Mytilus edulis: one gene and its partner. The protein of the gene in region 1 purifies or fractionates together with the protein of each later gene. This does not show direct contact. Links are inferred from orthologs where the notes say so. Each region holds a gene or a part of one and is shown on either strand. Other genes may lie near its edges.

Region 1 (10,733 bases):
TATATAATACATGTATACCAATTGAACACAAGTCAACAGGTATAACTTGTTATAAATAAAGGAAATCAGCATAGAGTGGGGGGCCCATATTCGCAGGGGACACAATTTCGCCGTTTTATAATTTTGAGGTGTAAACACTTCAAATGATGGCTGAAATGGAAGAAATATGCCGATAAATTATAATTTTATAACAAATATGATTATTTTTTTAAACTTAAACAAAATTACGGGACTTACTGCAAAAGATCGAAAAACGGACAACGATTTTCGGTCAATTTCCTGAATGAAAAACAGGATTTTCAAAGATTTTTTTCTTTAGCATTTTTTTGACTGATTGGCCTAAATTTCTGTTTTTTACACCTTGGAAATGTCTGCTGTTCATCTATAATGAAATTTATTTGATAAATATTATAATAATGCTGCAGTTATTTGGTTTTAAATAGATGTGTAAAAACGGCGAATATGCGTCCCCCATTGACAAAACTTCAGGAAATTTCAAACTGTGCGGTGACGGTGACCTTTTAATCTAACTTTACAGATGATTATTTTCAAACAAACATGTTTTCAAGCTTAGGAATGTTTTGCATTTGAAGTTATCTTCATATAGAAATATCAGTATACTTCAAAAACATATAGACCTGAACATAAACTGTAGAAAACATGGAAAGATATGGCGAAAATGAGCACCCCACTCTATATGTTTTAAAAATGTTGACTATTTAATCATTATTTAAATTATAGAAGACAATTACTTTTTTTTTTTAAATAAAATAGTATTAGTACTAGTCAGTTTCACTTGATCTCAGATCTTCATTAACTGGTCACATTTAATTATTAGTTGAGAAGAAAAATAAAGAAACTGAAGAAGGCCAATGGCAGAAATGTCTTGAAAATTGGTTCAATACAAATGTACTACAATTACAATTAACTATGTAAAATTGTCTTGCTTTCAAGTTCCTTTTATAACATCATGAAAAAGGCGACCATACTTGAACGAGAGATACCATCTTTTTGTAGCACATTGGAAAAGTAGGATTTAAGTTTGTCTTCCTATATCATGTATATATCTTGTAAAAATCATAAGAGGTTCTTCATAAAATGTCTGCAATACTTTTAGCTTGATGTCTATATTTAAAAGTCTTAAATTTATACATGTAATATGCGCAAAGTAAAAATGTAAATAAAAGGTCAACTGGGTGTGTTTCCTTGATATAAACCAGATAAATAGTCTGATTTTACCCAACTACTTAGAAGATCACTGAAGGCTAAAGGTATCTAATAGGAAGTTCCACATGTTTTTTTTTAACAAATTTAACTCATGACTCATGTAGTGTCTTATATTACCAGATACTGCACAATGCAAACCATGCAAACTGTATATTTTAAATCATTGATTTTCAAATCAAGGTTTTTGGTGTGAACAGTTTATAAGATTGTCATTTGTGAGTCAACTTCTTAAATAAATGATTTCTAAGAAAGCAGATAAATCAGTATCAGTATCATAAACTCTTTTGAATAAAAATCTGGGGAGGGGGGAGGGTGTTGGTCAGTCATTAACCTTTCAGGATAACTTCATTTTTGAACTTACCTCAACTTTTATCATAATATATTTTGTGAAACATAATAATCACTGTGAAAGAGCTCTTTTTCTACAATAATGGAAACAAAATATTACATGTACATGTATTTAGGGACGACATCAAAAGTTCAATGTAGGATTAAAAACTTAATTCAGATAGTTTTTTCACTGACCCCCCCCCACCCCCCCTCTTAACTTAATTTGGGAAAAATTGATTTACCAATAGGGATATATGTAAAAATCGATTTTAGATTTACAAAACTTTGTAGAATTTTAACCCCCACCCCCAAACTATTTGATTTAAGTTTTTTATCCTACATCAATCTTTTGATGTCGTCCCTTACCCCAAGATCACATGAACATGTTGAAGTAAAACCATGAAGAATACAGCATTTTTCTATTGATCAATACCTTTGGTTTTAGTGAAGTTCATCCTTGCATTTAGCACATAGCAAATTTTTAAGCAATGCTTAACCAAAACGTGTTTGAAACATACATCATGTACATAGATATAGGAAGATATGGTATGAGTGCCAATGAGACAACTCTCCATCCAAATAACAATTTATAAAAGTAACATGTATGAATTGTTCTAATAAAACTTATTTAAACAACATAAACAAGCTTACCTTGACCAGCATAGCTTTCCAGTAGTTTATCATGTATCGTTTTTCCATTCTGAGCAAGAGCTGTAAGGGCCAAAGCTTTGTACAATCCATTTCTATTTACAAATCCTGATTTATTGTCAACTGCATCCCATATCTGAAGAATGGATACAAAAACCTTAGATGTGATTATACACAACTAGTTATTTGAGGCATATCACAAGTTATAACACATGTGTTAATTTGCATAATTTTTCACAAAACAACATGCATCTGACCACATTTGAAATGAACAAGGTTATGCTGCAAAATTTAAATTGACATGTTACAAACTGGCATGACTGGTGTTGATTCATGACATAACAACAGTACAATGTACATGGGTATGTGTCCTTAAAACACAATACTTTGCTAACACTGAGTTATTTCCATGTTCATTGAACTGTAAGGCATCTTTCAAAACCCAATTTACTTTAGCATACATTTACAATGTATCATGTTTATTAATCAAATATTTTACTCCATAATGAACATATGATCTACATATTGTTATGCATGTATGTACAAAGTACCATGTGGACCATTAATTGTTAACAGGGTATAAAAACAGAAATATCAAACTTAACATGAAGAAACCAGAGGGACAGCATTAACAGTCTTGTCGGAATAGACCACTTTCAAGCTCATTACAATTCTGTCAAAAACTTTAATTTTACAAGTGAACATCATTTGTTTGTTTATTATGCTAGCTACAAAAAAACAATGTAGGCATCTTTACTTCAACTGTAAGGCATCTTTCAAAACCCAATTTACTTTAGCATACAGTTATCATGTTTATAATCAAATATTTTACTCCATAATGAACATATGATCTACATATTGTTATGCATGTATGTACATGTACAAAGTAACATGTGTACGATTAATTGTTACGAGGTATAAAAACAGAAATTTCAAACTTGACATGTAGAAACCAGAGGGACAGCATTAACAGTATTGTCTGAATAGACCACTTTCAAGCTCATTGCAATTCTATCAAAAACTTTAATTCAAGTGAACATCAATTGTTTGTTTATAGCTAGCTAGGCATCTTCACTTCAAATGTTGAGCAAATTTCAGGGACCAAATTTTCGGCTCTCCCTTGACAGCAATTTGCGAGTATGGTCTTGGAAAACAGTTATTGTCCATCGGAAGGGGACGATAAATGGCTGACCTGTGTTAAGAGAGAGCCATATCTCTTGCAGTTTAAAGACACCCTTGTAGATTTCGAAAAAGAGCAGGCTAATGCCGCTACAAGGCAGCACTCGCACCCGCAAAGTGGAAAGGGGTTAATATAAGTTGCACAAACTTGTTTCCCAATCCACTATAAATAAATATGTTTAAACTAAATGTTGAGCAATTGATTTAAAAATATGATTCTATATTGCGTGAATTTTTCAGCAAATAAAATTCTTGTAATCGACAACCAGCAGTGCTGTAATTAGGGAATTGTAATAATGTACCTACACAACAAACAGTATATCTTGTTCATCCTGCATATTGAAAATTGCTTAGACACTTGATAAACTTTATTGCTGTAGGTATATCATACAAGGCATACAGGCATACAGGAAACCCCCTTTACCTGGTACATGAATTCAGAAAGGTGTGCATAATTGATGAACTTTTCTGGTGACTAGTATAGGACATAATTCGAAAGTGGTCTATTGGATCAAACAAAACATTTTTTTAAAATGAAATCAAAGTTTTTGTCTGAATATAAACATGATAAACATAATAAACAATGTTACATGATAAAGCTTGTTTACCATTTTACACAACACATCTGTTATTAGCATGAAGTGCAAGGTGATGGAACAATTCTAATTGGTCATGAACAGTTGTAGATAACTTTCAAAAGGTTGTGATACATTTTGTACATATGCAATTGTACATGTACATGTATAAATATCTAAAAGTAAAAACCTAAAATAAATAACATTTTAATAAACATGATAAATGCCTAGATGTAATGCCATAACAACATTAACATGTAAACTCTATGTTTTTATTAATAATTTGCCTTATTTACCTGATGTAAACAATCAGGTGACTATCTACATGTCCAGTACCTAATTAGTAGAGGGGAGTTTCCGGTGTTGACAAAATTAATTAAAGTTGTTCATTTACAGAACATGTGCTTTCTGCAAGGCAATTGTAGTATCAATCAAAATATTTAAAATATTACAGCATTAATATAAATATATAATGGTATAAAATTATTTCAATATTTACTTGAGTAATTGTCGCTCTTGGTAAACTTGATTTCAGTAAAAGGTTGACCAGCAGATCTTCGTCAACCTGTTCTTGGTTAGGACATAAAATCTCGTACACCTCTCGATAAAATGGCGGTACGGACCCTAAGAACGAAAAAGAAAATTGTTAATTTCATTTAAAATCAATTACTTTCTCCAAAAGATGAGCATAAACATAGATCTGTTATGCAACAAGTTAAAAACTTACCGAACGTTAGATCTGCCGACATTTTGTCCATCTAAAAATAGTAATCATGTGACCCTCCTCCCACTATTGAAAATAAAGACAGGTGCGAATCGTAAATTGGCTTTCTCATGAATGTTTTCTTGTTTCTGTTATAAATATCAGAGTGACTGGGTTTATAGTGTAATATAATTTTGTTTATCAATGTTTTTCAAATCTTAACATAACAATCGTCAATCTACGACGTTACTAAATACCATTTTGGTTTAATTTTCATAGAACACGAGTTTACGTAGTATCATGTATTTATAAAGCTGAAATAAGCCGTCAAGGCGGTCCTACGAACAAGCGCCCGGGAGAATAAAATGAAAATATGTTAAAACAAATATAAACAAGAGTATATAGAAGAATCATGAACGATATCGTCCTCGATCAAAACGTATATTTCGTTATTTTAAAAAAATCAGTTACCGAGGTCTAATATTCGCAACTGCATGGTGAACATTCTTCAAAGTTTTGTATTTTATTAAACACACTTGAATTGACATTAGAAGATAGTGGAAGAGTTTCAACATGCTTGTAACTAAGAAAAGTTAAACCCACTGTTAAAGCAAATATGATATTCCGGCCTTGTGGAATATGCCGTAAAAATTGTAAAAAATATTTTTTTTTTAAATCAAAACTGTTTAAACCGCGTCTGTTTATGGGTGATTCAATTTTATTTGTTTTATACCAAATACCTGCTTTTAACATGCATAGTATAATTGCTTTATTTGCCGATGCTGATATACATGTGCGTGTCACTTTTATCGTTCTTAAATAATGTGTAACTCTTTTAATTTTATAAATTAATATGTATCTGTGAAATTTTTAAAAAAGTTGTTTTGACACTTTCAGCAGTCATTTTGTTATCGTTTTTGAAAAAAAAACATATCTTTTGATGTCTATAATATTTTATAAATCTTCAGCATAAGCTGTGATCCATTATTATCTATCTTTTGAAATACTATTCATATTGTTTAATTTGAAACAGTCATATTCTTTTTTTGTGCTTTATTAAAAATGTCTATTATCTGAATTTGCAAAATACTTGTCTAAAATTTAAAAAAAACATCAATGTTCATAACTTATTTCATCGACGCAAAGTTGTCTCATGCCTATATGATTTCTATTTATTTTCCCTAGGCGCATTTTCTTTGCCCCGGGAGTTTTTCTCTCTCCCCCGAGTTATTGAACAAAGTGGTCGAATTTATTTTGCGGAAAATTATGACAAAAAGTCGACACTTAAATTCGGAGATGAGAATTAAGTATTCAAATATCAGCAAAGGTATTCTCAATTTTAAGCAGACCGTCTTTGAATTTTTAGTTCTGATATCGATTATTGAATATTCTGTCAAAAAATCGAATTTTGAAATAATAAAAAAAACACTCTGTAAATATTAGATCAATTGGGCAATCATTTACCTTGGTACAGTGTATCCAAATTCATTATATTTTGAACATACATGCATCTTTTCTTTTGTTGACAAGTATATATATGGCTCACATTAACAGGGCTCAATTTTCAAATCCATCAATTATCTGCCTAAAATGGAGCATGGACGCATTGGTCAATCTACTCGGCTTTTAATCACTGAAATGGCTTTGAAGAAAATCGGACCTTAAAAACATATATTTCATAAATAGTGGTACGATCGTTGGCAAATATATGTATATTTTGTAAGAGAATCAGATTAGTTTGTTTTGCAAATATGAGAAAAATTAAGACTCCCGCCGCGAAACTGCAGTCTCAAACAGTTAAGTGTTTCTAATCCTGATCTGTGTGTAGAGAGCATGGCACTCACTCTCAAAGGAGTATGTTTCCGACCGAAGGCGTATATATTTATATATTCTGAGTGCAGAGTGCAGAATATATATATATATGAGAGCCCAGGTGGTCGTGTGGTCTAGCGGGACGGCTGCAGTGCAGGCGATTTGGTGTCACGATATCACAGTAGTATGGGTTCGAATCCCGGCGAGGGAAGAACCAAAAATCTGCGAAAGCAAATTTACAGATCTAACATTGTTGGGTTGATGTTTAGACGCGTTGTATATATATTCTGCACTCAGTCGGCAAACGAATAATTATAATATTCAAGATAAATCAATCAAAAAATGCAAAAATACCTTAAAATTACCTATTCAGGTGCGGCAAACCAAAAACGGGTTCTCTGATGCGTCTGAAAATTGTATAGTAGATAGATCTTGACCTGATGAACATTGTTATCCAATGTCAGATTTTCTTTAAATGCTTTAGTTTCAGATATATAAACCAAAAACTGCATTTTCCCCATGTTCTATTTTTAGCCATAGCGGCCATCTTGGTTGATGGTCGGGGTCATAGGATACATTTTTAAACTAAATACCCTTAGGATTATTTAGGGCAAATTTGGTTTTAATTGGCTCAGTAGTTTCAAAGAACACGGATGCCAAGTGATAAGAAAAGCTCATTTGGCCCTTTTGTGCAAGGTGTGCAAAAAATTAATGCACTCCTGTATTCCGATGATCAATCTCACATGTGAAATTTTGGCAGCTTTTAAGAGTAGGCATGCATACTTAAGAGTTCTCAGTGTGTATAATGTTACAAATGTTGTGCATGTCTCACAAATAAAAATATGTATTGTTTAGAGGTGCTGAACTGTACAACTATATGAAATGTAAAATTGTCCTATTGTTTGTCAGCGAATTTAGACATTTTGTTTCTCAATTGAAGTTAAAACATAATATTATTTGGTGATTTCATATTTTCAAAAGTGTATTCAAGTGAACATCACAACTGTTAGATATCAAGACATGTATACATAAAAATAAGTGACTTTTGAACTTTTAACAACGTAAGTTAATGACTTTTGAACTTTACAGTATTATGCATGATGTAGTGTTTGCCATGTTTGACCGTGTCTTAAAGCGGAAAAACCACTGTATCGTCGATTTTGCATGGTATCTGTCAACTTCCGAAGCAATGTTATCGACTCACCGGACATTTCCGAAGTCCTGCGTTTAATTGATTGCCGTGTTTATGAGCTTCGTTCCTTGCTTGGAAGTTGGGTATCTGTATATTTAAAATGTTACGGTTTCGCCGACACATAGCGCTTTGTCACAGTCGAGAAATTAATTTTATTTTTGGTTTTAACGGAGAATGTTTATTTACAGATTAAATATATAAAACATATATATTGGTGTTGTATTGTACAATTTTAAACGTATACAGTATTTTCTATATATTTTGTGCACAGTACAGTATATAGTTTTGTTTATAACAACCAACAAGTATCGTTACCATTGTTCTGTTTGTCATAACAAATACTACAAATGAATGTGTGTCATCTGTTGGTACAAATAATTTCTGTATTAATTTCCGGTTTTTCAAATGGACCGATTTTTTTTTTAATACAAGTGGACTTTTGAGTGTTAACAACAAATCCAGATCACGTTGCTTTCAAACTTCTAGCACACCCGATGGATGTTCAGGCAATACTCGTGAGCAAAAACATTAACTTGTGATCAGAGAGCCACCATTTATTTTGATGTTCTGGGTGTGTGTGTGGTCGTCGGGGCGAATCTTTATATTCATGATCATTTTTTTAAGGCTTATTGTATACATTAGAGTTCGTGTTCTGCATTTTGTGTTGCCGAATATTGCATTCTGTCCTTAATATGCAAAATTATTTATTTGTCAGGTCTTACAATTAAGTTATTCATTCCTCCCCTTCCCATAAACAATTAAATGGTATTAAATAAAATCTGTAAATTGTTATTACTATTTCAACTGCTTTTGTCCAGAAACTAGCTTTATCGTCGGGTTAAACACTGTCAGGGAGTGTACAATTTTATATATAGCATTTGAGTATCAAATTGGCTTCTTGACCTTTGAGCTGTTTGATAACCCGTTCCAAAATATATAACTGACTGACATTCAACGTCATGTAAAACTTGCATGCAACGGACCCTTATGACCGTGTTATAATAATTCTGTGACTTACTATTTGTCTTGTGTTTCATTTTTTTGCTTGACTTGCAGATACTATCCTTCGATCTTTACTTTATATTCTCGCGAATAAAAATGCAATAAAATTCTAGGAGTCAGAAAACCCGCATCTGTCATTTTTTGCCTTGTTGATTTGTATATTGCTGAATAAAATTTATTAATGCCAGTAATAATTATGACAATTGCCATAAGTGAATTGTGTTTAACCCTTCAGTGCCACCGTCATCTTGCCTTCGTTTAGCTTGGCCGTATATATTTAATTTTAATTTCCTGTCATTTAATAGGGGTTGCAATGCAATAGCGGTTATATCTAAATACTTTTATAGGATATAACGTTTACAGTAGATGTTCAATTCATTCAACTTATGATGCTATATATTTGGCAAGTTAATTGTATGAAAGGCGAATTCCGTCATTTGATTTCATATGGAATGAAGCAACCCATACCGTATGAAAACAACTACAAATCTCCGCCATACTATTTACCAAAACAGCTTTTTCAATTTCGCATTGTTGGTGTGCTGATCATGAGTGCAATCAATTATTCATAATAAACGCATTGTTCTTCGATTGAAAATATATTGCTAGTGAACAATAATAGTTGAACTACATGTACAAATGACATATAAAAAAAATGTTAATAATAAAACATGTACAATAATCATTGTAGACTCCCACAAGTTTGATAAATATTTCCCAAAACTATCATGACATGATATATAAGAAACCGTTCTAACACTGTCCGTTTATGAATTTCGAAATTATAAAGAAACTAAGCCGAGTAAAATGGATTATTCAGAAAATTGTGTCTACTATTTACAACGTTTTTTTTTTTTTTTTGGCAGCAAATGAAAAAAAAATAGTTTTGAGAGGTTCAACTTATCATTTTTTTAGAACCGAAGTCAGACAAATTATGATCTTATAAAAAATGCCATGTGGGATGGAACCATAATATGTATATGTTGTGTACAAGTTGTAATGTTGTACAAATTATAATTTGTACAGAATTTTTGTACAAGTTATCAGTGTTTTATGACCTGCTGAACAAAAATAGATGATGCAAGCACACAGTCTTTTAATCCGCATATTTCTGTCAATTTTTCACAACTTCATGATACAGTCTAATACTGAGCATTGATACAGAAACATTATAAGACCTCACAAAGATTTTGTATAGATATGAATATGGTATAAGGAAAAAAATAAAATTAGAATTTAAACCAGTCAGGTATCCTCATTTACAGTTTGAAGGCAAGGAGAATAGCACTAAATGTTAGGTTGACGTATGTTTTTTTGAATTTAAAACATTACACTGGTAAATTTTATAAGTTAAACCTGTATCACCTGTTGCAAGAAGGTAGGTGTCAAAAAACTTATAACTTGTACAAAAACCCTGTACAAATTATAATTTGTACAAACTTACATCTTGTACACAACATATATATTCATGACAAAAGAATAAGATCATACAAAAAAAAGAATAAAGCAGACAGTATTAACATTGTCAATTTAAGTTTTAGGTTTGAATTTAAAATTATTGTATTTGTAATATAAATTATCTAAAACGTCTTCCAAAAAAATTAAAGATGATTAATTGCTCATTGTCACTGTTTTTTCCCCCTGCAATGAATTAGACCCTTGGAGCGGAGTCGTACATTTGAAGAGCGTTTGGTATATGGACATATGGTCAAGAACTGTTATAGAAAATAAAAGAATCGATTGAAAGCATTACATCAGTATTAACACTGTAACGTGAAACAAGAGAGACATTAGGAACATATATTTTGTTGGCCGATCCGGTCTACATAAAATCTGTCTTGTACAGGCGGGTGACAATAACCAATTACAACAAATACCTAGTTAAGAAGAGTTTTACTGCTGAACAGAATGTCAAATATATTTTGTTTTGTTTCAAAGAAAAATTAAAACCATTTTTCCTAAATCAAAGTTGTTTTGTATTAATATTTGTAAAAACATTGCGTATTTCTTTCACAAAGTGCAAATGAAATACTGTAACCAAGGAAATAAATTTTAAAAAAAACAA
Region 2 (10,679 bases), on another chromosome or scaffold:
AAATATGTATACATAAAATATAATATTTGTATTTGATAAGGTGATTTCCTTTCTTTTTAGCCTGTGCTTTTTTGTAAATTACTATGTGCCTTATGTTGCTATCAAAATTGTTTGTGTAAAGATAACACATGTGACCAGACTTGAACTAGTTTGCACCATTAACATTAATGTATGAAAAGCTACGATGTTGTAATTCACACTACTGCTATATATTCTTAATACTCTTCTGTCTCTTCATCTGACTTCTTAGTTGTATTTATAAGTATCAGTACACTTATTACCCATTATATTTGAGTATAGATTATATCAGCATTTAAGTTTTGTTTTCCTTTCTGATGGTTCTTTTACAGAAAATTAAGCCCAAATCATTAATTAATCTGTGCATTAAAACATATCTTATTTATGAGAATTTTAAACTATATTGTCACACACAAATAATTGAAGGCACTTAATGAGATACTATTGGTGGTGGTCTTTGAAGAAAGATAGTTTGAACAGAAATTATCATCTAATGAGGGAGGATAAAACAATGACAAATTCAAGTTCCATAACAGCCCTAAGATAAGATGGTTTACAGACAATAATTTGTAAGATGCTAACCACATGGCTACTGAAGAGTCCATTGACTGGTATAGGAATCCTAGATTTATGTTGAGCATTAGACCTGTCTTCTTCACGGAACATAACCTCATCGCCAGACTCTTCCTCTGACATGTGACCTTCGTGGGATACAATACTGTTACCATCATCAACATGTTCCTCTGTTGATTTGAACAGTGCTCGTTGATTGTGTCTGATAGATCTGGCTGATAACCCACTAGATGATGGCTGTTCCTTACAAACATTATCTTTTACTTTAGGTGTCCTGAAAAAATAAGTTGAATAATCATACATCATATTTAATGAACAAAACATAAAAGTACCATTTTTTTTTTAAACATGCATTTTTTACATGGCATGCAAGTTTATTTATAATACATGCCACATTCCTTTTGAACTAAAAATTTGAAAAAAAAGCCCAACAACTGAAAGTTTCATTTTTTTTAAATGTTCAAAATAAAAGTAAGAAACTTTTATTGAATTATTTTCAATTACATACAATGTTATGTAACCTGACAAATATTTCACTCATACCTGCCAAACCTACCATTTTGATTGGGAAGCACTTGCACAAAATCATGAATTGAAGAGATAAAGTATACTTTTTAAATGTTATTGGTGCTTTGTAGATGAATATGTTAACCGGTTATATATCTAACTTCGAAATGTTGTATGTTGTAAGTGCAAAATCTCCCTCTTTTTCATAAAAAAAATAATATACATGCATTGTCAGAAAATATCAAATGTAAAATTTGTACTTGTTATGAGACAGTTAAAAATACAACCCATGCTTTTCCTCCAGTTTCAAAAGCTTATCCAATTATAGATTTAGTATTTTGTACAATGTAGTATACTGTATTTAAGTATATAAATTACCTGACAGCTTTGCGTTTGCGGTTACTACATGTCAACTGAGTACGACTTTGTTCCACAATACAATCCCCAACTCCTGGGACACTACTCAAATCCTTTACGGTTGAGAAACCTCCAAATGACTGCAATAAATTATATGGCAAATCTTTAAAAATGTACTGTGCCAAATAGGTTACTTTGAAGTATACAATTAATAGAATTGTAAATTATTTCAGCTGAAAAAATTTCAGAAAAAAGGTATCAAAATTCAGGTTACTCAAATTCCAAAGCTGTTGTTCTTAGACTCATTCCAATCTTAAAATTCTTTGATCTGTTTTAAAACCTATGATTTGCACTTGTTGCTTGCCCCCTTTCTCTCAATCTACAAGTATGTATGTATGTATGTTAAGTTTCATTTGTTTTGAATCTATAAGCTAGAAAGCAAAGAGCCTAAAGTTTGATGTGCCGATCTGCATACATGTATATAAACAATGGGGTCTGTTGTAGTTTGCAATGTGTTTTGAGATTTGATCATTATTGAAGGTCATACAATGACCATTTGTTGCTTCCTTTGACGTCATTTGGTTTGACTGTCACAGGTGGAGTTTTTTTCATTGGCAATCATACATGTACCACATCTTTTTATATAGACAGTTTTATATAACTAAAAGCCAATTAAAGTGCATACCTATTTGAATTTGTAGTAAAATTACAAATGAAACAAATTTGTAAAGTGTACACAACTGTAAGACACTGTTAGGCCCTCAACAATGAGTAAAACAAAAACTGTATAATAAGAAGCTATAGTGCCCAGGCTTGACAATATGTAAATACTTTTAATGTCCACTTTTCAAGAAATTTAAAATAATGACCATGAGAAAAACTGACCTTCCTGTATTTGATGATAGCTTTTGCTTTTCTTAAACCAATACCATTTACTTTTTCAAAGTCTTCTACACTAGCCTTGTTGATATCTATTTTCTTGCTTGCCATTATCACAGCCAATCATCTTTATTTTCTGTAAAACATTATCAATATCATGAATGTAAAGTTAGGTCGTCAGCATGCAATACATAATTTGTAATAATAAATATGATGTCGGAAAAACAAGCACATATTGTATATAATTAAAGCACCAGATCATATTTGTACCTTTTTTGAGGGAAATTGTGATGTCATGGTGCATTCTCAATAGCACTAAAACCCATGATACAAGATACATTTGTACATCACTTTAAGGCCAGTCATGTCAATGTTTTTATCAATTTCAAAGGATTAGGATTTATACTTCACATGTACTTCACAATAGAAACAAAGTATAGGAATCATGTATTAATTTATCAAAAAGATCAATGTTCATCGACAGTCATCCAGTGTATACCAGAATTATGAAGACATACTAAATGTTACTTATCCTATGAGGAGAAAAAAAACACCAAAAAATGTCATCAAAAATGTTATCTTGTGTGAATTCTGTTATTGTTTCATGACCTGTTAAAAGTCTCCTCATTTACTTGTACCCTATCTCTTCTTTATTCACATAACTGACCTCCTGAACACTGTAACACCTTCTGTAAGGCTGTTTGCTAGCAACTGAATACTGTATAGAACCATCAAAATAGAAAAAAGACCACAAACTTAGAACTACAAGAAGATTGATAAACAACTGGGGAATGCGATTTCAATTATTTAATGGAAAAAAATGTTACATTGTTATATATGCTTTAAAAACAAAAGCTAGAGATTTAATATGCTAAATGGACACATTCTCCAACAACTCACACCTAGGAAAACAAATATCAGAAGATCTGAAGTAAAGCACACACAAAAAGTCATAATAACTGTTGCAAATAAGGCAAATTCAACCCTAAGTTTTCTGAGAAGGAACCTAAGGTACATTTACATGTACTGTCCGCATGAATGGTAAGAACTGGTACAAGGGCTGTATAGCCAGTCAAGGTCGTTAAAAACTTTCATTTGTTTGGTAAGAAAACTGCTAACATTTCACAAGTACACTCAACAATGGAAGATGCAGCAACAGCATAGCATGAACAGCCACAAACAAGCTAGAAAGGTTCAAAATATTTAATAACTTAAGACAAGAAAAGATGGATGCATAACAAAATCCTTGTCAAACTTACAAATTACAAAAACTACAGCATACATTTAGATGCACATACAAAAAGCTTATATTTGGGTACACAGTGGTTGAGGGGCAGGTTCCTGCTATTGATCCAGACTAAAACTAACAAGAATGTGTCCCAAGTACACAGATGCCCCACTCGCACTATCATTTTCCATGTTCCAAGGACTTTGAAATTGGGTAAATATATAATTTGGTATTAAAATTAGAAAGATTATACTATAGGGAACATGTGTACTAAGTTTCAAGTTAACCTGAAGCGGGAAGAACGAACGAACGGATGAACGAAAGGGGCCACAGATCAGAAAACATAATGCCCCTCTACTATCGTAGGTGGGGCATAAAAATTAGCTAGATAAAACCATGTATCATATGTACTAGTCCAAATAATTATGACGTCTGGCAAGGCTATTTTTAATTTTTTTCTGGGACGCCTTCCTACAACGAAGGCGTCCCAGAAAAAAATTAAAATAGCCTTGCCAGACGTCATAATTATTTGGACTACATATGTACCAACTCTCTTTGTGTCCACAAATTATAATCAACTAGTACCATCTAGAACTAGTTGTGCGCACAACAAGCATTGACAAGTGCAAGTCTTTTTATTAAGAGCATTTAATCTGCCCACACAAACTGACACCTACAACTCATTGTATAAAAGCCAGTACTTGTTATTATGACCTGAACATGTACAGATATTTCTTTCAGTCATGACTTTTCTTTGTCCTTAAATGTACATGATGTAAGTTGATTTTCCCATTGGTATATTTCTCCCCCTACATGTAGATTAGCAGGATTAGAAAGATATGCTTTAAGTTAGAAGGAATTAAATAAATGGGTAGAGACTGTGGTTAACGTAAAGTTTATTGAACCATCACGGTATGGTGTCTTGTTTTCTTTGAAGTTCAACAACGAATCAATACCTTCAAAAAGGCAACCTTTATACTTATTGTATTTCATGTAGTTAGTATACTCGACTGTCTGTGTAATACAATATAAAACATTGCTTAAAACAAATCATAATTTGATTTCTGATCATCTTAGTTTTCCCTAGATTAAGTTGATAACCACGCGATCAATGTCAAGAAAAATATCTAAAATCGAACAAAAAAGGGTCGTGGCCGCGTAACATTAATCAGCTGTTTGATTGCCATGCAAATCCGACAGAGAAACTGGATCTAGCAAAGAAACGTGAAACTATATGCTTTAATATTGATACTGTGGCATAGCAAGGCCGTTGTCCTACCTGAAATGGGGGCGATTTGTAGTGTTTACGTAGGAGAACTTTATCCGTTCCATCGCCATATTTATTTATCGATGATAGACGGAGAGTGACGAAAATAGCCGAATCTGAAAATAGGTCTATAAACCAAAAAGAACTTGACAACGTACCTACTCGAACACTTGATATATGTGTACACGAATTTAGATGTACTAAAGTCTATACAAATCTTTGATGTTCAGTTGTAAATATTGTGGCAAGCAAATAATTAATAAGAATAATAAAAAAATATCACATCTTCACTTTTTTTTTCAGTAAATCATGAACTTGTGACATACGTTAGCAATAAAGATATTATATACTTAATAAAAAAATACAAATAAATATGTTGTAGAGTAGGCATGGTCAACAAAACACAGGCATAAGATAAGCTCTACAGCCATAGTGTCTGTGTCTACAGCGCTTTTAAATTACATGAAGGATTTGTATATCCTTGATTATCATTACATAAATAAGACGCAACAGAAAGAAAGCAACACGTTATTAATGAGATAATTAAATAAAGATAAAATATTTTTTATTCCAATTAAAGGGACCACGAAGAGCAAAGTAATTTATTACAATGATTTTTATAACTGACACAATAATGCTGATATAAATCATATATAAATATGAATCTCAATTCTTAGATGTTAAACCACAGCCAGATCAGAGCCACACACATATTAGAGAAAAAAGGCATAACAATTATATCTATTATTAATTGAAACGAACACATAAGCAATATAGCCTTCTATGATGTATATAATTTAACTTTATTTAAGTTTTCCTTTTTAACTATTTTGGTGTTTTAAACAATTTTTTTACATAATATATTTGACATAAATATAGATATATATATAATTTATAAACTTTATTGAAAAGCACTTTACGCCCATATGGGCCAACACAGCTTGTAAATAGCCAACGAGAAGAGTTTTATTACATTGATGTAAAATGAAATAAGAAGATGTGGTACGAGTGCCATTGAGACAACTCTACATCCAAGTCTTTCAAAATGTGTAAAAAGTAAAACTAGTATAGGTCAAAGTAAGGCTTTCAACGCGGAGCCTTGACTCACATTGAACAGCAAGCTATATAGGACCCTAGAATGACTAGTTTAAAACAATTCAAACAGAAAAAACCAAGGATCTACTCTATATAAAAATTGAAAATGAGAAACAAGAAACAATCACGAACCACATTAACAAAAGACAACCACTGAACAGATTCTTGAAGTTCAACTGGTGCAAACGAATGCAGCAGGTTTAAACGTTTTAACAGACACCAAACTTCACCCTAACCCGAAATATTAGTGTAACAGAACAACATAGAAAGACACACTATAAAATATCAATTGAAAGGGTTTGACTCAAACAAAAAGACTTATTAACAAAAAAAAAACAAGTAAACATACACATGCCTGCTACTCTAGCTCATATTTCCATTTAATTAAGGTCAGTTTGGACACAGCCTTAGTCACAGAGTTAGTTTTTGTACATGCCTGTTACTCTTTCTTATATTTCCATTGAGTTAGTGAGTGTGAACACATCATAGTCATAAGGTTAGTTTCGTTTCTATGATGTACATGCCCGTTAGTCTTGAAAATATCTCCATCAAGTTGAGCTCAAAGTGAACACAGCTTTAGTCAAGGCGTAAGTTTTGTTACATTGATGTACATGCATGCCTGTTACTCTTGCTCTTATTTCCATTGAGTTAAGGTCAATGGGAAAACAGCCTTAGACATAAAGTTAGTTTGGTACATTGACGTACAAGACACTTACTCTTGCTCATATTTCCATTGAGTTAAGGTCAATGTGAACACAGTCTTAGACATAAAGTTAGTTTGGTACATTGATGTACAAGACAGTTACTCTTGCTCATAGTTCCATTGAGTTAAGGTCAATGTGAACACAGCCTTAGACATAAAGTTAGTTTGGTACATTGACGTACAAGACAGTTACTCTTGCTCATATTTCCATTGAGTTAAGGTCAATGTGAACACAGCCTTAGACATAAAGTTAGTTTGGTACATTGACGTACAAGACAGTTACTCTTGCTCATATTTCCATTGAGTTAAGGTCAATGTGAATACAGTCTTAGACATAAAGTTAGTTTGGTACATTGACGTACAAGACAGTTAATCTTGCTCATATTTCCATTGAGTTAAGGTCAATGTGAACACAGCCTTAGACATAAAGTAAGTTTGGTACATTGACGTACAAGACAGTTACTCTTGCTCATAGTTCCATTGAGTTAAGTTCAATGTGAACACAGCCTTAGACATAAAGTTAGTTTGGTACATTGACGTACAAGACAGTTAATCTTGCTCATATTTCCATTGAGTTAAGGTCAATGTGAACACAGTCTTAGTCAAACAGTTAGTTTGGTACATTGACGTACAAGACAGTTACTCTTGCTCATATTTCCATTGAGTTAAGGTCAATGTGAACACAGCCTTAGACATAAAGTTAATTTGGTACATTGATGTACAAGACAGTTACTCTTGCTCATAGTTCCATTGAGTTAAGGTCAATGTGAACACAGTCTTAGTCAAACAGTTAGTTTGGTACATTGACGTACAAGACAGTTACTCTTGCTCATATTTCCATTGAGTTAAGGTCAATGTGAACACAGCCTTAGACATAAAGTTAATTTGGTACATTGATGTACAAGACAGTTACTCTTGCTCATAGTTCCATTGAGTTAAGGTCAATGTGAACACAGTCTTAGTCAAACAGTTAGTTTGGTACATTGACGTACAAGACAGTTACTCTTGCTCATATTTCCATTGAGTTAAGGTCAATGGGAACACAGCCTTAGACATAAAGTTAGTTTGGTACATTGACGCACAAGACAGTTACTCTTGCTCATATTTCCATTGAGTTAAGGTCAATGGGAACACAGCCTTAGACATAAAGTTAGTTTGGTACATTGACGCACAAGACAGTTACTCTTGCTCATATTTCCATTGAGTTAAGGTCAATGTGAACACAGCCTTAGACATAAAGTTAGTTTGGTACATTGACGTACAAGACAGTTACTCATGCTCATATTTCCATTGAGTTAAGGTCAATGGGAACACAGCCTTAGACATAAAGTTAGTTTGGTACATTGATGTACAAGACACTTACTCTTGCTCATATTTCCATTGAGTTAAGGTCAATGTGAACACAGCCTTAGACATAAAGTTAGTTTGGTACATTGATGTACAAGACACTTACTCTTGCTCATATTTCCATTGAGTTAAGGTCAATGTGAACACAGCCTTAGACATAAAGTTAGTTTGGTACATTGACGTACAAGACAGTTACTCATGCTCATATTTCCATTGAGTTAAGGTCAATGGGAACACAGCCTTAGACATAAAGTTAGTTTGGTACATTGACGCACAAGACAGTTACTCTTGCTCATATTTCCATTGAGTTAAGGTCAATGGGAACACAGCCTTAGACATAAAGTTAGTTTGGTACATTGACGCACAAGACAGTTACTCTTGCTCATATTTCCATTGAGTTAAGGTCAATGTGAAAACAGCCTTAGACATAAAGTTAGTTTGGTACATTGACGTACAAGACAGTTACTCATGCTCATATTTCCATTGAGTTAAGGTCAATGGGAACACAGCCTTAGACATAAAGTTAGTTTGGTACATTGATGTACAAGACACTTACTCTTGCTCATATTTCCATTGAGTTAAGGTCAATGTGAACACAGCCTTAGACATAAAGTTAGTTTGGTACATTGACGTACAAGACAGTTACTCTTGCTCATATTTCCATTGAATTAAGGTCAATAGGAACACAGCCTTAGACATAAAGTTAGTTTGGTACATTGACGTACAAGACACTTACTCTTGCTCATATTTCCATTGAGTTAAGGTCAATGTGAACACAGCCTTAGACATAAAGTTAGTTTGGTACATTGACGTACAAGACACTTACTCTTGCTCATAGTTCCATTGAGTTAAGGTCAATGTGAACACAGTCTTAGTCAAACAGTTAGTTTGATACATTGACGTACAAGACAGTTAATCTTGCTCATATTTCCATTGAGTTAAGGTCAATGTGAACACAGCCTTAGTCAAACAGTTAGTTTGGTACATTGACGTACAAGACACTTACTCTTGCTCATATTTCCATTGAGTTAAGGTCAATGTGAACACAGCCTTAGACATAAAGTTAGTTTGGTACATTGACGTACAAGACAGTTAATCTTGCTCATATTTCCATTGAGTTAAGGTCAATGTGAACACAGCCTTAGACATAAAGTAAGTTTGGTACATTGACGTACAAGACAGTTACTCTTGCTCATAGTTCCATTGAGTTAAGTTCAATGTGAACACAGCCTTAGACATAAAGTTAGTTTGGTACATTGACGCACAGGACATTTACTCTTGCTCATAGTTCCATTGAGTTAAGGTCAATGTGAACACAGCCTTAGACATAAAGTTAGTTTGGTACATAGACATACAAGACAGTTACTCTTGCTCATATTTCCATTGAGTTAAGGTCAATGTGAACACAGCCTTAGTCAAACAGTTAGTTTGGTACATTGACGTACAAGACAGTTACTCATGCTCATATTTCCATTGAGTTAAGGTCAATGTGAACACAGTCTTAGTCAAACAGTTAGTTTGGTACATTGACGTACAAGACAGTTACTCTTGCTCATATTTCCATTCAGTTAAGATCAATGTGAACACAGCCTTAGTCAAACAGTTAGTTTGGTACATTGACGTACAAGACAGTTACTCTTGCTCATATTTCCATTGAGTTAAGGTCAATGTGAACACAGCCTTAGACATAAAGTTAATTTGGTACATTGATGTACAAGACAGTTACTCTTGCTCATAGTTCCATTGAGTTAAGGTCAATGTGAACACAGTCTTAGTCAAACAGTTAGTTTGGTACATTGACGTACAAGACAGTTACTCTTGCTCATATTTCCATTGAGTTAAGGTCAATGGGAACACAGCCTTAGACATAAAGTTAGTTTGGTACATTGACGCACAAGACAGTTACTCTTGCTCATATTTCCATTGAGTTAAGGTCAATGGGAACACAGCCTTAGACATAAAGTTAGTTTGGTACATTGACGTACAAGACAGTTACTCATGCTCATATTTCCATTGAGTTAAGGTCAATGTGAACACAGCCTTAGACATAAAGTTAGTTTGGTACATTGACGCACAAGACAGTTACTCTTGCTCATATTTCCATTGAGTTAAGGTCAATGTGAACACAGCCTTAGACATAAAGTTAGTTTGGTACATTGACGTACAAGACAGTTACTCATGCTCATATTTCCATTGAGTTAAGGTCAATGGGAACACAGCCTTAGACATAAAGTTAGTTTGGTACATTGATGTACAAGACACTTACTCTTGCTCATATTTCCATTGAGTTAAGGTCAATGTGAACACAGCCTTAGACATAAAGTTAGTTTGGTACATTGACGTACAAGACAGTTACTCTTGCTCATATTTCCATTGAGTTAAGGTCAATGTGAACACAGTCTTAGTCAAACAGTTAGTTTGGTACATTGACGTACAAGACAGTTACTCTTGCTCATATTTCCATTGAGTTAAGGTCAATGGGAACACAGCCTTAGACATAAAGTTAGTTTGGTACATTGACGCACAAGACAGTTACTCTTGCTCATATTTCCATTGAGTTAAGGTCAATGGGAACACAGCCTTAGACATAAAGTTAGTTTGGTACATTGACGCACAAGACAGTTACTCTTGCTCATATTTCCATTGAGTTAAGGTCAATGTGAACACAGTCTTAGTCAAACAGTTAGTTTGGTACATTGACGTAC

Evidence for each region. The genes of interacting proteins can lie anywhere in the genome.
Region 2: the proteins of sorting nexin-8-like (region 1) and F-box/WD repeat-containing protein 7-like purify together in Homo sapiens (affinity purification with mass spectrometry; 3 studies listed by BioGRID and IntAct, counting the BioPlex papers as one, with this or other methods). This does not show direct contact. The link is inferred for Mytilus edulis from reciprocal best matches to the Homo sapiens genes SNX8 and FBXW7.

What each region holds. Positions count from the first base shown.
Region 1 is NC_092352.1:67,331,454-67,342,186, forward strand, and holds the start of sorting nexin-8-like, read right to left. Parts: upstream 4,807-10,733; 5' UTR 4,718-4,806; coding exon 4,687-4,717; intron 4,584-4,686; coding exon 4,459-4,583; intron 2,342-4,458; coding exon 2,209-2,341; intron 1-2,208. UniProt on the Homo sapiens protein: May be involved in several stages of intracellular trafficking. May play a role in intracellular protein transport from early endosomes to the trans-Golgi network.
Region 2 is NC_092351.1:67,280,143-67,290,821, reverse strand, and holds the start of F-box/WD repeat-containing protein 7-like, read right to left. Parts: upstream 4,932-10,679; 5' UTR 4,842-4,931; intron 2,471-4,841; 5' UTR 2,446-2,470; coding exon 2,341-2,445; intron 1,596-2,340; coding exon 1,477-1,595; intron 866-1,476; coding exon 601-865; intron 1-600. UniProt on the Homo sapiens protein: Substrate recognition component of a SCF (SKP1-CUL1-F-box protein) E3 ubiquitin-protein ligase complex which mediates the ubiquitination and subsequent proteasomal degradation of target proteins.